3 linked regions of the Bombyx mori genome follow. The protein of the gene in region 1 purifies or fractionates together with the protein of each later gene. This does not show direct contact. Links are inferred from orthologs where the notes say so. Each region holds a gene or a part of one and is shown on either strand. Other genes may lie near its edges.

The links.
Region 2: the proteins of armadillo repeat-containing protein 8 (region 1) and E3 ubiquitin-protein transferase MAEA purify together in Homo sapiens (affinity purification with mass spectrometry; 5 studies listed by BioGRID and IntAct, with this or other methods). This does not show direct contact. The link is inferred for Bombyx mori from reciprocal best matches to the Homo sapiens genes ARMC8 and MAEA.
Region 3: the proteins of armadillo repeat-containing protein 8 (region 1) and ubiquitin-conjugating enzyme E2 H purify together in Homo sapiens (affinity purification with mass spectrometry; 3 studies listed by BioGRID and IntAct, with this or other methods). This does not show direct contact. The link is inferred for Bombyx mori from reciprocal best matches to the Homo sapiens genes ARMC8 and UBE2H.

Annotation. Positions count from the first base shown.
Region 1 is NC_085117.1:9,122,537-9,126,197, forward strand, and holds part of armadillo repeat-containing protein 8, read left to right. Parts: intron 1-1,041; coding exon 1,042-1,257; intron 1,258-3,424; coding exon 3,425-3,496; intron 3,497-3,661. UniProt on the Homo sapiens protein: Component of the CTLH E3 ubiquitin-protein ligase complex that selectively accepts ubiquitin from UBE2H and mediates ubiquitination and subsequent proteasomal degradation of the transcription factor HBP1.
Region 2 is NC_085132.1:9,954,897-9,958,557, forward strand, and holds part of E3 ubiquitin-protein transferase MAEA, read right to left. Parts: intron 2,311-3,661; coding exon 2,158-2,310; intron 403-2,157; coding exon 259-402; intron 1-258.
Region 3 is NC_085133.1:414,912-418,572, forward strand, and holds part of ubiquitin-conjugating enzyme E2 H, read left to right. Parts: intron 1-573; coding exon 574-650; intron 651-1,884; coding exon 1,885-2,052; intron 2,053-3,545; coding exon 3,546-3,661. UniProt on the Homo sapiens protein: Accepts ubiquitin from the E1 complex and catalyzes its covalent attachment to other proteins. E2 ubiquitin conjugating enzyme that transfers ubiquitin to MAEA, a core component of the CTLH E3 ubiquitin-protein ligase complex.

The sequences.
Region 1 (3,661 bases):
GTTTCTATTTTTTACTTTCGTTTGTCTTCGTTTTCGGAAGCGGTCTCCTAACACTCAGTATATAATAATAATAAAAAATCCTTTTTTTTTCTGTCTATTCGCTGGTAGCCTAAGGGGCTATTCCAGCTACCCCCAGACGGATTCATAATAATAATTTCAAATTATGAGCAGTAATTCACCGTCGCCGTTACAGAGGAAAGACGTTATTTTGAATTGAATTGACAACTGCGACAAAACCTATTAAACATATATTTAATTATTTTTTTTACAATCTAGTAATAACCAATGTAAGACAATAGTTTATGATCTATTTAGTGTATTATTTGACATGTTTTGGTAGTATCTGCGGCCCGGTTAGCTCCATTATAGATAACGTTACGTGCAGTAGACAAATAGTAATATGTAATGTACCTTGTCGAACTTATTCGGTGATGTATAATATTGTTGGTGGCGGCGGCTATTGTCAAATGTTTTTAAGCAAAAACCGTATGCCTAAAGTAGTATAAAAAATAATTAAAAAAAAACTGAAAACAATACTAAAATTCATTGGGGTACTGAGTCTGGGGTGATGTCTTTGAGCTATTGTCCAGATTTAATACGTTGCTAAAAGTTATTATCATTAGCTAATAGTTATTATTATTATACTCACTGAATTGACTTTTTAATTTTTTTTATTGTTTAGATGGGTGGAAGAGCTTACGGCCCACTTAATGTTAAGTGGATACTGGAGCCCATAGACATCTACAACGTAAATGACACCCACCTTGAGATATAAGTTCTAAGGTCTGAGTATAGTTACAACGGCTGCCACACCCTTCAAACTGAAACGCTATACTGCTTCATGGCCGCTGACTACATTTTTACTCTTAAATAATAACGCATTTTTTTATTGCCTTTGTAGGCAGACGAGCACACGTCCCACCTGATGGTGAGTGGTTACCGTCGCCCATGGACTTCAGTAATGCCAGGGGCAGAGCCAAGCCGCTGCCTACCAATTTAATTGAATACTCAGATATGAATCGTTCTGGTATCCCGGAATAGGTCGACACGTCCCTCCAGCGTTTAGCGGCGATATCGAATCACTTGATGAGTTCCCTGGCGGACATCGTGAACTGTCAGTCCGCGGCCGCCAAGCAAGGCGCGTTCAAATGTTTCGCTTCGCTCGGAGCGAACGACGAGGACATCAGGAAAATGATCATCGAAACCCACGGCCTGATGGTGCACGTCGTCAACGGACTGAACAATCCTGATCCCTGTGTAAGTTACACACACACACACACACGCACACAGCTATAGAATTATTAACAACTAGCTGTAACCGTCCGCTGGGCATTTAAAATTAACATTATTATTTCTCACCCCCACAAAGATTCTCATCATTAACGCCCCCGCAACTGGTGTAGGGAGTTCAACACTCATATAAATATTAGCCTATCTATTAAGTACATGTATTTTCTACATGGATACCAAGTTTCAAGTCAATCGCATGCATGGTTCAGTAGTTATAACGGGACATCCGTAAAAGCCACTGTAGATTTATATATTAGTATAGATGAAATTTCCTTTGAAAACAAATTAATATTTTTAATGAGTAATTAAATGAGGTCCCAGTATAACTTATATATGAGTCGTCTATTATCAAAGGCGGCAATCTGTACATTTGGACAAAAATTTTTTATTGATATGTCAATACAGATTTATTTGAATATAATCGTCTCCTTCAAAGAATACGGTTCAAAACCTGCATTAAATAAAGGTTAATAGTTAACCTGTTATTTATCTAAGATGTCGTTCCGAAGAGTTTTGTGACTGCCAATGGAATACAAAGTCAATAATTCGTTTTTCTGATTTACTAATCATTGTCCAAAAGTCAGATTGCCGCCTTTGATAATAGTCGACTCATATGTCAGAGACGGTCATTACTTTGGTAGCTAAACGAAACGCAGCACGATTCCCGAGAGATGGCAGCACGATCGCGCTATCGTCGGAACTCTGCTAAATTCGTGCTACGACAGAACTTAGCCGATGGAGGCGCTTAGACGCCATTACACACTTACCAACCAACCTTCTTGAAGAGCTGTGCCTCCGTCCTAAGAATTGTCATTCTTTTTCGTTTGCTAATATCAAGAGAAGATTTCTAAATTGTTCTAAGACAACAAACGTGATTGGTGTACTCAATATTTCTCTTAGCTCGATCACCCTATTCGCCCCTATGATGTCTGACGATGGTGTTAATAATTGTGGCTTCTCCGATATATACAACTTATGTTCATATTTATAAGTAATAGTGGACCCGACAGACGTCGTCCTGTGAATGCATACATAAAAAATTCAAAATTCAAGTTGATTCAGCCGTTTAGTTGCAGTACAGATAAATAACCTATATACCGACTGTAGCGCCATCTGCCGGGCTGATTTGTGAATTTAAACCATCCAGGGCGCCACCCAAACGCATATAAAAAAATTCATTCAAATCGGTCCAGCCGCTTAGGAGGACTTCAGTGAACATACACACGTGCAGTAGAATTATATATATAAAGACGTATATAGGTTATTTAAAATAATGTTTACGTCCATCCGTACGTGTACTATCGCCGCTTCGATAAGGAGCCGTGGCACATTTTCGTATTGATAACTCGAAGGAGGAATTTTAAAAGCTTGAAATTACGATTAATATTGGCATTGTCAAGTGAACATAAATTCTGATTGTGAATATTCGAATTCTATTGCCTCCATATCTATTAATTATGCCATATCTTAATTTTTAAATGAAACGTTAACATTGAATATTGTGTTCAGTACCTAGTAAGGGAATTCTCCAAAATATAGACTGAAGATAATACAGGTGCAGGCTTAACCCACTGTATTTTTCGTTAGAACTTCGCAGATGGTTCGATTCCGATCCATTGGTAGTTCAGCAAAGCACTGCTCTTGCATTTGATAGATTCAGCATAGCACTGCTCTTGCTAGGGCTAGTGTTACCAAGTGACCTCACTAGACTATCAGCTATTAAGTAAGGAAAGAAATAAAGATGCAGGCACTAGTCGACAGTAATTCACACGCTAACACATACTAGTCATACTCATACATTCGCATGTAACTTAATTATTAATGCCGATATTAAAATTCCGTGTACGGCCAATGAGCAAATTGAATTTACAACAAAAATTCCAATGCATTTTTGAAATTGAAACTTTTGAAGTACATTAAAGATTTGAAATTTGATGAAACGAAAAATCGACATTAAAAAGAGACAAACATATACATCTGTCTGAGAGAGAACGAGATATGTTTCCGAAGGTTCCACTCTTGATCCATGCGAATTGTTGATTGTTTTGTTTTCTGTCTTTGTTAAGATTATTGTTTCTTTTCGGCTTTGAAATCGACTACTTCACACCTTGATAGAAGTATGAATGTGTTACAGGTGAGTCTAGCGGCCGTGCGGTGCTTGCATTCGTTGTCAAGATCGGTTCAACAGCTGCGAACGACTTTTCAGGTTTAATAATTTTAATTCCAGTTCTTCATTCCCATTCCATCTAGCATTTAGTATTCTCGAATCAACAATTGTAAATAAATTTGTCAAATCGATTTGCGCGCCACCTACTGTACTGTACTATAAATAGCATAGCAATTTTCAATTTAGTCAATCGTGAACATTTGT
Region 2 (3,661 bases), on another chromosome or scaffold:
ATGATAGAATAAAATAATATACTACGACTTTGTAAAACACATTATTATTTACAAAAAGTGTCGCGACAACATATGTCTAACTATTATAGTTATGCCGCAACAAGTGTTCTTTTATTTAAAAAAATAAAACAACGTCAAATATCGTTGAAATTTTTGTTAAAGACCCGAGCGGAGCCGGTGCGGACCGCTAGTGTAAAATAAATAGAATCAATGTTAGAATTCATCAAGATATCGTTTATACGGATATAGTGACAGCACCTTCACCTGCGTGGAGGACGGCTCGGCGAGGGCGCTGGCCTGCTCCTTCAGGTGTTCCAGACGCTTCTTGCAGACGTAAGCGACCTGGAGCTCTTCGTTAATAGCCTCGCTCGCTTTTCGCTTCATCGTTGTCAACTTCTCGACCTGCAAACGCTGAATCTTTAGGTTTGAGGATTACGTTGAAATGCCGACCAGCGCTGGCCAGATTGAAGACCGATCCGACCCGATAGGTCGGGCGTGTGAGATGCCCTCTACTTTTGTGAATCTAAATCTCTTGCATATGTACAAGTTCCAAACAAAAATATGCAGGCAGTCGCTCTACTAACAACTTACTTGCGCGATGGAAGACCTTTGCTTTTACCTATAAACTGAGCGATATTATTCTAAAATAATTCTAGCAGGACAAGTGCAATACCAGAATATGGTGTGGTTTGTGAGATGAGCCTTACTTACCTGAGTACCCTTTTTTTGGAGCTACATGTTCTTCGCAAGAAACTCAGTGGGCTGTGTCTATGGGTTAATTAACTCGTCGAGGTCTTCGTCGCAAGCGACAGATTCGGCGAGGACGGTGACCAGTGAGAATGCTGCTGCCCATTATCTGATGACTAAACCCAGGTTAATCAATGAATGAAAATTGATGCATTGTTTACGCTTGTATCTAGCAGTTGTTGTGGCCTAAAGGGTCCGTCCGGTGCATTCGTATGTAGCGATGCACCGGTGTTCGAATCCCGCAGGCGGGTACTAATTTTTCTAATGAAATACGTACTTAACAAATGTTCACGATTGACTTCCACGGTGCAGGAATAACATCGTGTAATAAAAATGAAACCCGCAAAATTATAATTTGCGTAATTACTGGTGGTAGGACCACTTGTGAGTCCGCACGGGTAGGTACCACCTGCTTATTTCAGCCGTGAAGCAGTAATGCGTTTCGGTTTGAAGGGTGGGGCAGCCGTTGTAACTGTACTGAGACCTTAGAACTTATATCTCAAGGTGCGTGACGCATTTACGTGGTAGATGTCTATGGACTCCAGCATCCATTTAACACCAGGTGGGCTGTGAGCTCGTCCGCCCATTTAAGCAATAAAAAAAAAGTACAGACTTACCTACTTCTCTAGGAATATGATAACAATATTTTATTTTATTTTAAATACCAAAAGTCTAACTTCAAACTTCAATGTTGTGTACTGCTGAATTGACGTAAAAAAAAAAACAAAAAAAACTTCAGACACAAGTTTCTAGACACAAATTCACAGCCAGACTGAACGTTTGCCTAAATGTTAAATAAACATTAGCTGACACAGTTTTCTGTTCGAGATCGTACGCGTATTAGTGATAGACGAGTAGAGGACGATGATATGCAAATTGGCAGTAATGCGATTGGTCGTCCATATTGTTCCCCTTACCCCCCAATCCTCGATTCGTGTAATACACCATTTTTTATTCATGTAAAAGGTTTTGAACAATAAACACCTAACTGGAGGAAAAATACGCCACAGACTATTTTATATTTTTCCGAGAAAAGAACTTTTAATACGACGCTGGCCACCGGAGAAGGAACTCGTGAACCATTTTACGAGAAAATGTATTACGAGTAATAATGTAACGATACAATTAAAGCTACTTTAACGATTTTATCTCGCGTTTTTTTTACGGTTCATTACTTTTTTTTTACCTATTCGCTGGTAGTCTAAGGAGCTATTACGAGTAGGTGAGCTCACGTATTCAACCACGTTCAAATTCACTTGATGAATGTTTGTAAACCTAGCGACAAATTCAAAAGGGGCTTGTGACACCCCCATTTGCCGCGACGCTAAGGTTAAGAGCCGCTGATCTAACTACAGTAATTACATTAAGCTCTCGCGGTACATTTTATTATAATAATTTTAATGTACATACCATGCCACCCAATAGACTATCGATCTCTGTATTTGTGATGGGTTGGTTCTTGACCGTTTCCATTTCTGTGGCGGCACTGCTAACCTGACGCGCCTCAACATCGAAGACGCGTTGAGCACTGCGGTACTTCTTGTTAAACACTTCATACGGCACCTGTGCATGATCGTAATTATACACGGTGTTAAGAAACTACCCGTAAAAAAAGGAGCTTAAATGGGGCCTTATAACGAGTCCATCACTACATAGTATAAAACAAAGTCGCTCTCTCTATCCCTATATCCCTATGTATGCTTAAATCTTTAAAACTACGCAACGGATTTTGATCCGGTTTTTTTTAATAGATAAAGTGATTGAAGCGGAAGGTTTATATGTATAATAACATCCATTAAATAGTTGAGAAATCAATAATAAATTACAGTTTCCGAAGTGAAGCGAGGGCGGGTCGCTAGTTCACAATATTTAACAGCCGTAGTAATGCTGTATAACAATAAAATAAATATTATTATTTGCACTCATGTGAAAATCCTATTTCAATAAAATTAAAGAGTAGGTAAGCAACGCAGAATGTACCTACATTTCTACCTAATTCGCGGAACAACAAAAGTTTTGACAAGGACGACAAGTACCTACTTGACTATAATGACATCCTTGTATTGAAGTAGCAAACATTTATGAATGAAAAATAGAAAAACTATCAAAGTAGACAATTATTACGTAAAATAGGTACGTAGGCCTTTCTGTTAAATTACTGCTTACTAGGGTTGACAAAATTATAGGCTTTGATAATTAATCATATTTTTTACGGGGTATTTTGTAACACGTTATATATTATGTTTGTAATGAAGCAGCGTACCGAAAGTGAAAACTTATCTTCAATTGAAAAGTCTTCATTTATTTATTTATTTAATTAGCTATAACAACATAGTGAGCACTAATTCAGAATATAGGTGAATAGAAAAGAAGGTTCATATTAAGATCCCCTCAATTGTACAAATGACATTGCAATAGTTGACAGCATTATTAATAATTTTATTTATTTTATACATTGTAAAACTATTAATACCAAAATTTTACAATTCCATTCGAGTAACAAATTTCAGAAAATCTATACTAAATTAAAAAAAAAAAAGTTCTATTAATCATAACTCTATCGAGTCTTTAAAGATCTATTAGAACAAAAACTTAAGTAACTAAAAAATCATCAAGTATAACTGAACAGTGATTTAATTGTGTTAATTCTATATATCTGAGAACATAATATATGTTTAGTTTATTTTTTGTTCATTATTACTTTACCACATACTATATTATGCATACATTTACTAACATGGCATACATTATAGCAATAATATTATAGAATTTACTGGTGGTAAGATGTCTGCCCACATGAGTAGGGACCACATAACTATTTCCTATTTAAGAGCTTATACTCTTCACTTGAATTCTCGTCCATCCCGAAGAATGAAAACGAAAAAATCTGTAAAGCAATGTGAAATTTAGGGCT
Region 3 (3,661 bases), on another chromosome or scaffold:
TGGTATTTTACTTAACTTATAGTTTATATATTTTATTTTTCAAAACTAAAATAACTAATTGATTGCAGAAACGTTATCATATGTTATATATTACAAAAACATAAGTAAAATATTTGTTGTTTTTTCTAACAATTATAAACTTTGCACTAAGGGTGACTCATCATTATAATACATTAAAAAAAAATTAAATTTATTTAATTCCAGAAAATAGAAAAATCGATTATTATTTTAAATGTCCAAGGAAATAAATTGATTAAATCATTCTGATTATAAATTTTTACCAAAAGTACCAAAATTATAATTCACAAATAATGGATGAATTGAATTTGTTAAATTATCAATTAAACAGAAAATTATTAATTCTAATAGAATTACTTAATTATATTGAGCAATCTTGATAAGATAAAAAAGAAATTTCACTTTCAAAAATTTGCCGCCCTTGGCACTTGCTCCGACTACCCCTAGTGTAAATCCACCACTGGATGTGAGCATTTTTAAAATTAATATTTGGCAATTGTAATGCGTGTGTGTGTACTGTTAACCATTGAAATTTCTTTAACTAAAACTATACAGTATCGAAAGCAAGCACGAAGTGACAATCCTGAGCGGCCTTAACGAGTTCTGCGTGAAATTCTTCGGACCTCCAGGAAGTGAGTACATGTTTATCCAGATCTATTATCTACAACCCATTATTATAAGCGAAACGTAAACAAACTAACTTCGTCCATTTCTCCGAGTGCTTCGGTGGGCTTATCTCGGCAAATGGCCGCAAACCAATTCGTGTACAGAGATAAACTCTGGTCAATATATAAATTTATGTGTTTATAAAAATTATTACTTACTATAAAAATTATTACTTACTTATTGGTGGTGGGACGTCTTGTGAGTCCCCACGGGTAGGTACCTCCACCCTGCTTATTTCTGCCGTGAAGCACATTGTACTGTTAAAAGTGAGACCTTACAAATGCTGTCTCAAGGTGGGTGACGGCATTTACGCTGTAGACGTCTATGGGCTCCGATAACCACTTAACATCAGGTTGGCCGTGAGCTCGTTTATCCACGTAAGCAATAAAATATAGATTATTTACAATATTCAATAATTTATGGGGCTAAATTTTATTATGCTTTTTAATTATGCTGCGCATTGCCGTAGGATTTATAATTGGCTGTTGGTTTTATATTGCTTGGTCTACGGCTCCGCTAACCACCTGGTGGGCGATGAGATCGTTTGCCTATCTACGCATTAAAAAAAGGAGTTGTAAACAGGTTACGTCATAAAAACCGTTGAATAACAAGGCTTCAAAGTTCAAAGAACCACACTCAATAAACAAATGTCCAAACGATTTGTTAATAATTCTTGTTAACGATCTCGTTTTGCTCAAATTCAATTAGAATATTCTGAAATCAAACGGTCGAATCTGTATTGAAAGATATTGTAACTTTACTGATCGTAGGTGATATCGTGAATATGCACTGGTAAATAGTATTACCAATCTGCCTGTTTCCATCGCAAAGCAACCAAGAATTAAAACATGGAACATTCTTATACAATACTAATCGGGACTCTACTGGCTGTGGCCTCAAGCAGGTCGCGATCTTCGTCTCCACATTTTTTTGTTTTTTTTTTTTTATTCTTTATTAGAGCCATACCTATTAGGTTAAGTCGGCAAATCTCCCCATTTAATACTATAAAAAATGCATACCATGTCTGCCACACGTACATAGATAATATGCGATACTGAGCCCGTATTACCGCCATTAAAAATAAGAGGTTTTTTTTTTTTTTAGGGGAATTTCAGCATTTTTGAAGTAAGGTGTTTGAGACTATTAATAAATGCCAGTAAAGATATATTCTAATCTACGTCGTTTGTTTTATAATTTAAGCGCCATACGAAGGTGGTGTGTGGAGAGTACGCGTGCACCTTCCCGATCATTACCCCTTCAAGTCTCCGTCCATCGGTTTCATGAATAAGGTCTACCACCCCAACATAGATGAGGTGTCGGGGACCGTGTGTCTTGACGTCATCAACCAGGCGTGGACTGCCCTTTATGGTATGTCTTTGTTCTCTTTTATAACTTCAATAGACTGAAAAGCGGCCAGGAGATTTGGTGGACACGTCTATGCCACTGCCTATCATTAGATACTGCCTCGATATCATCCCTAGAAGTACATTTTGTACCGCCGGAAGGGAGCTCCTTTTGAGTGACAATTAACGGCCGTCTGGTGTAGTGGTAAGTGACATGGTCACTACACAAGGGGGTCGCGGGTTCGAATCCCGCCAAGGGAAGATATTTGTATGATAAATATAAATGTCTTTCCAGGGTTATGGGTGTATATTAAATATATGTATGTGTATAATAAAAAATATTATATTTATTTCCGTTATCTGGTACTTGTAACACAAGTTCTTTACGAACTTAGCACGGGACCAGTTAACGTGGCGTGATTGTTAGTAAATATTTATATTTATTTAAAAAAAAAAAAAAAAAAAAAAAAAAAAAAAAAAAAAAAAAAAAAAAAAAAAAAAAAAAAAAAAAAAAAAAAAAAAAAAAACGTGGGTGCCACCGTCCAGCATGTCATACCATTAATACTTAAGATGAGGATAAGATATGTGGTACAGGTGAGTGATAAAACGGTTTTTCGTACAGTGACTGTATGAGAATTAAACCAACATGGTCTGAAATGGTACTGCGGGCCTAATTGACCTGATTGTAGTTACTCTACATGGGTAGTACTGAATTGAAATATTTTCATTTCGGTGTTGTAATGTACATATTTGGAAATGAGCAACAAGTATCTTGCCCATTTTTCTTATGGTAAAGTCGCGAAGATTTGAATTCGCTTGTGAAGATGTACTTCAATAAAATTATGTAGTCTCTAGTTTAATTATAGTTTTACAACCCGCTGTCTGTCTGACATTAATATTCCTCTGGAATCTATGCGGCTTGGTATATTAGTAGCGGATTTAGTGCCAAAGTTATCGGAGTTAGACAAAGCGAAGAAGGACGCAAGCAAGGAATATCATCATTGATTGACTTAACATGAGTTATGAATCAAGATACCATTCTGTATTTTCCGCTGGCTTGAATATAATACATTAGTGTTCACGGTTATATAGAATTAACCCTTTGAGATTCAAAATCCACACGTATTGGACATATAGTTTAGTCTTAGGACCACAAAGGGTTAATCGGTGGATGAGCTCACAGCACCGCTCTGAGAAACGTGAGTGAAGTCTCAGTTGCGTAAGTGCTGGCCCATACTTCGAACCAGAACATGTCATTAATCAGCATACACCAAGCCACCAACAACGACGAGATGTTGCTTCATTTTGGAAGTCGCAAAAGCGTATTGGTTATGCATTTCCTTAGAAAAATAACAGTGCAATCTGCAAGATTGTAACTTGGCATTGTACCACTCGAGTATACCGAATCCCTTGTCCTCAAGCAAGACGGCCTGGACAACTAGTCTGGCGATGTCGGATAAGGTTCTTGACCTCCTGGCGATGACGGATAAGGTTCTTGATCTCGTCTGTGTGTTGCAGACTTATCGAATATATTTGAATCGTTTCTGCCGCAACTGCTCACCTACCCGAACCCGATCGACCCGCTGAACGGTGACGCGGCCGCCATGTACCTGCACAAGCCCGAGGAGTACAAG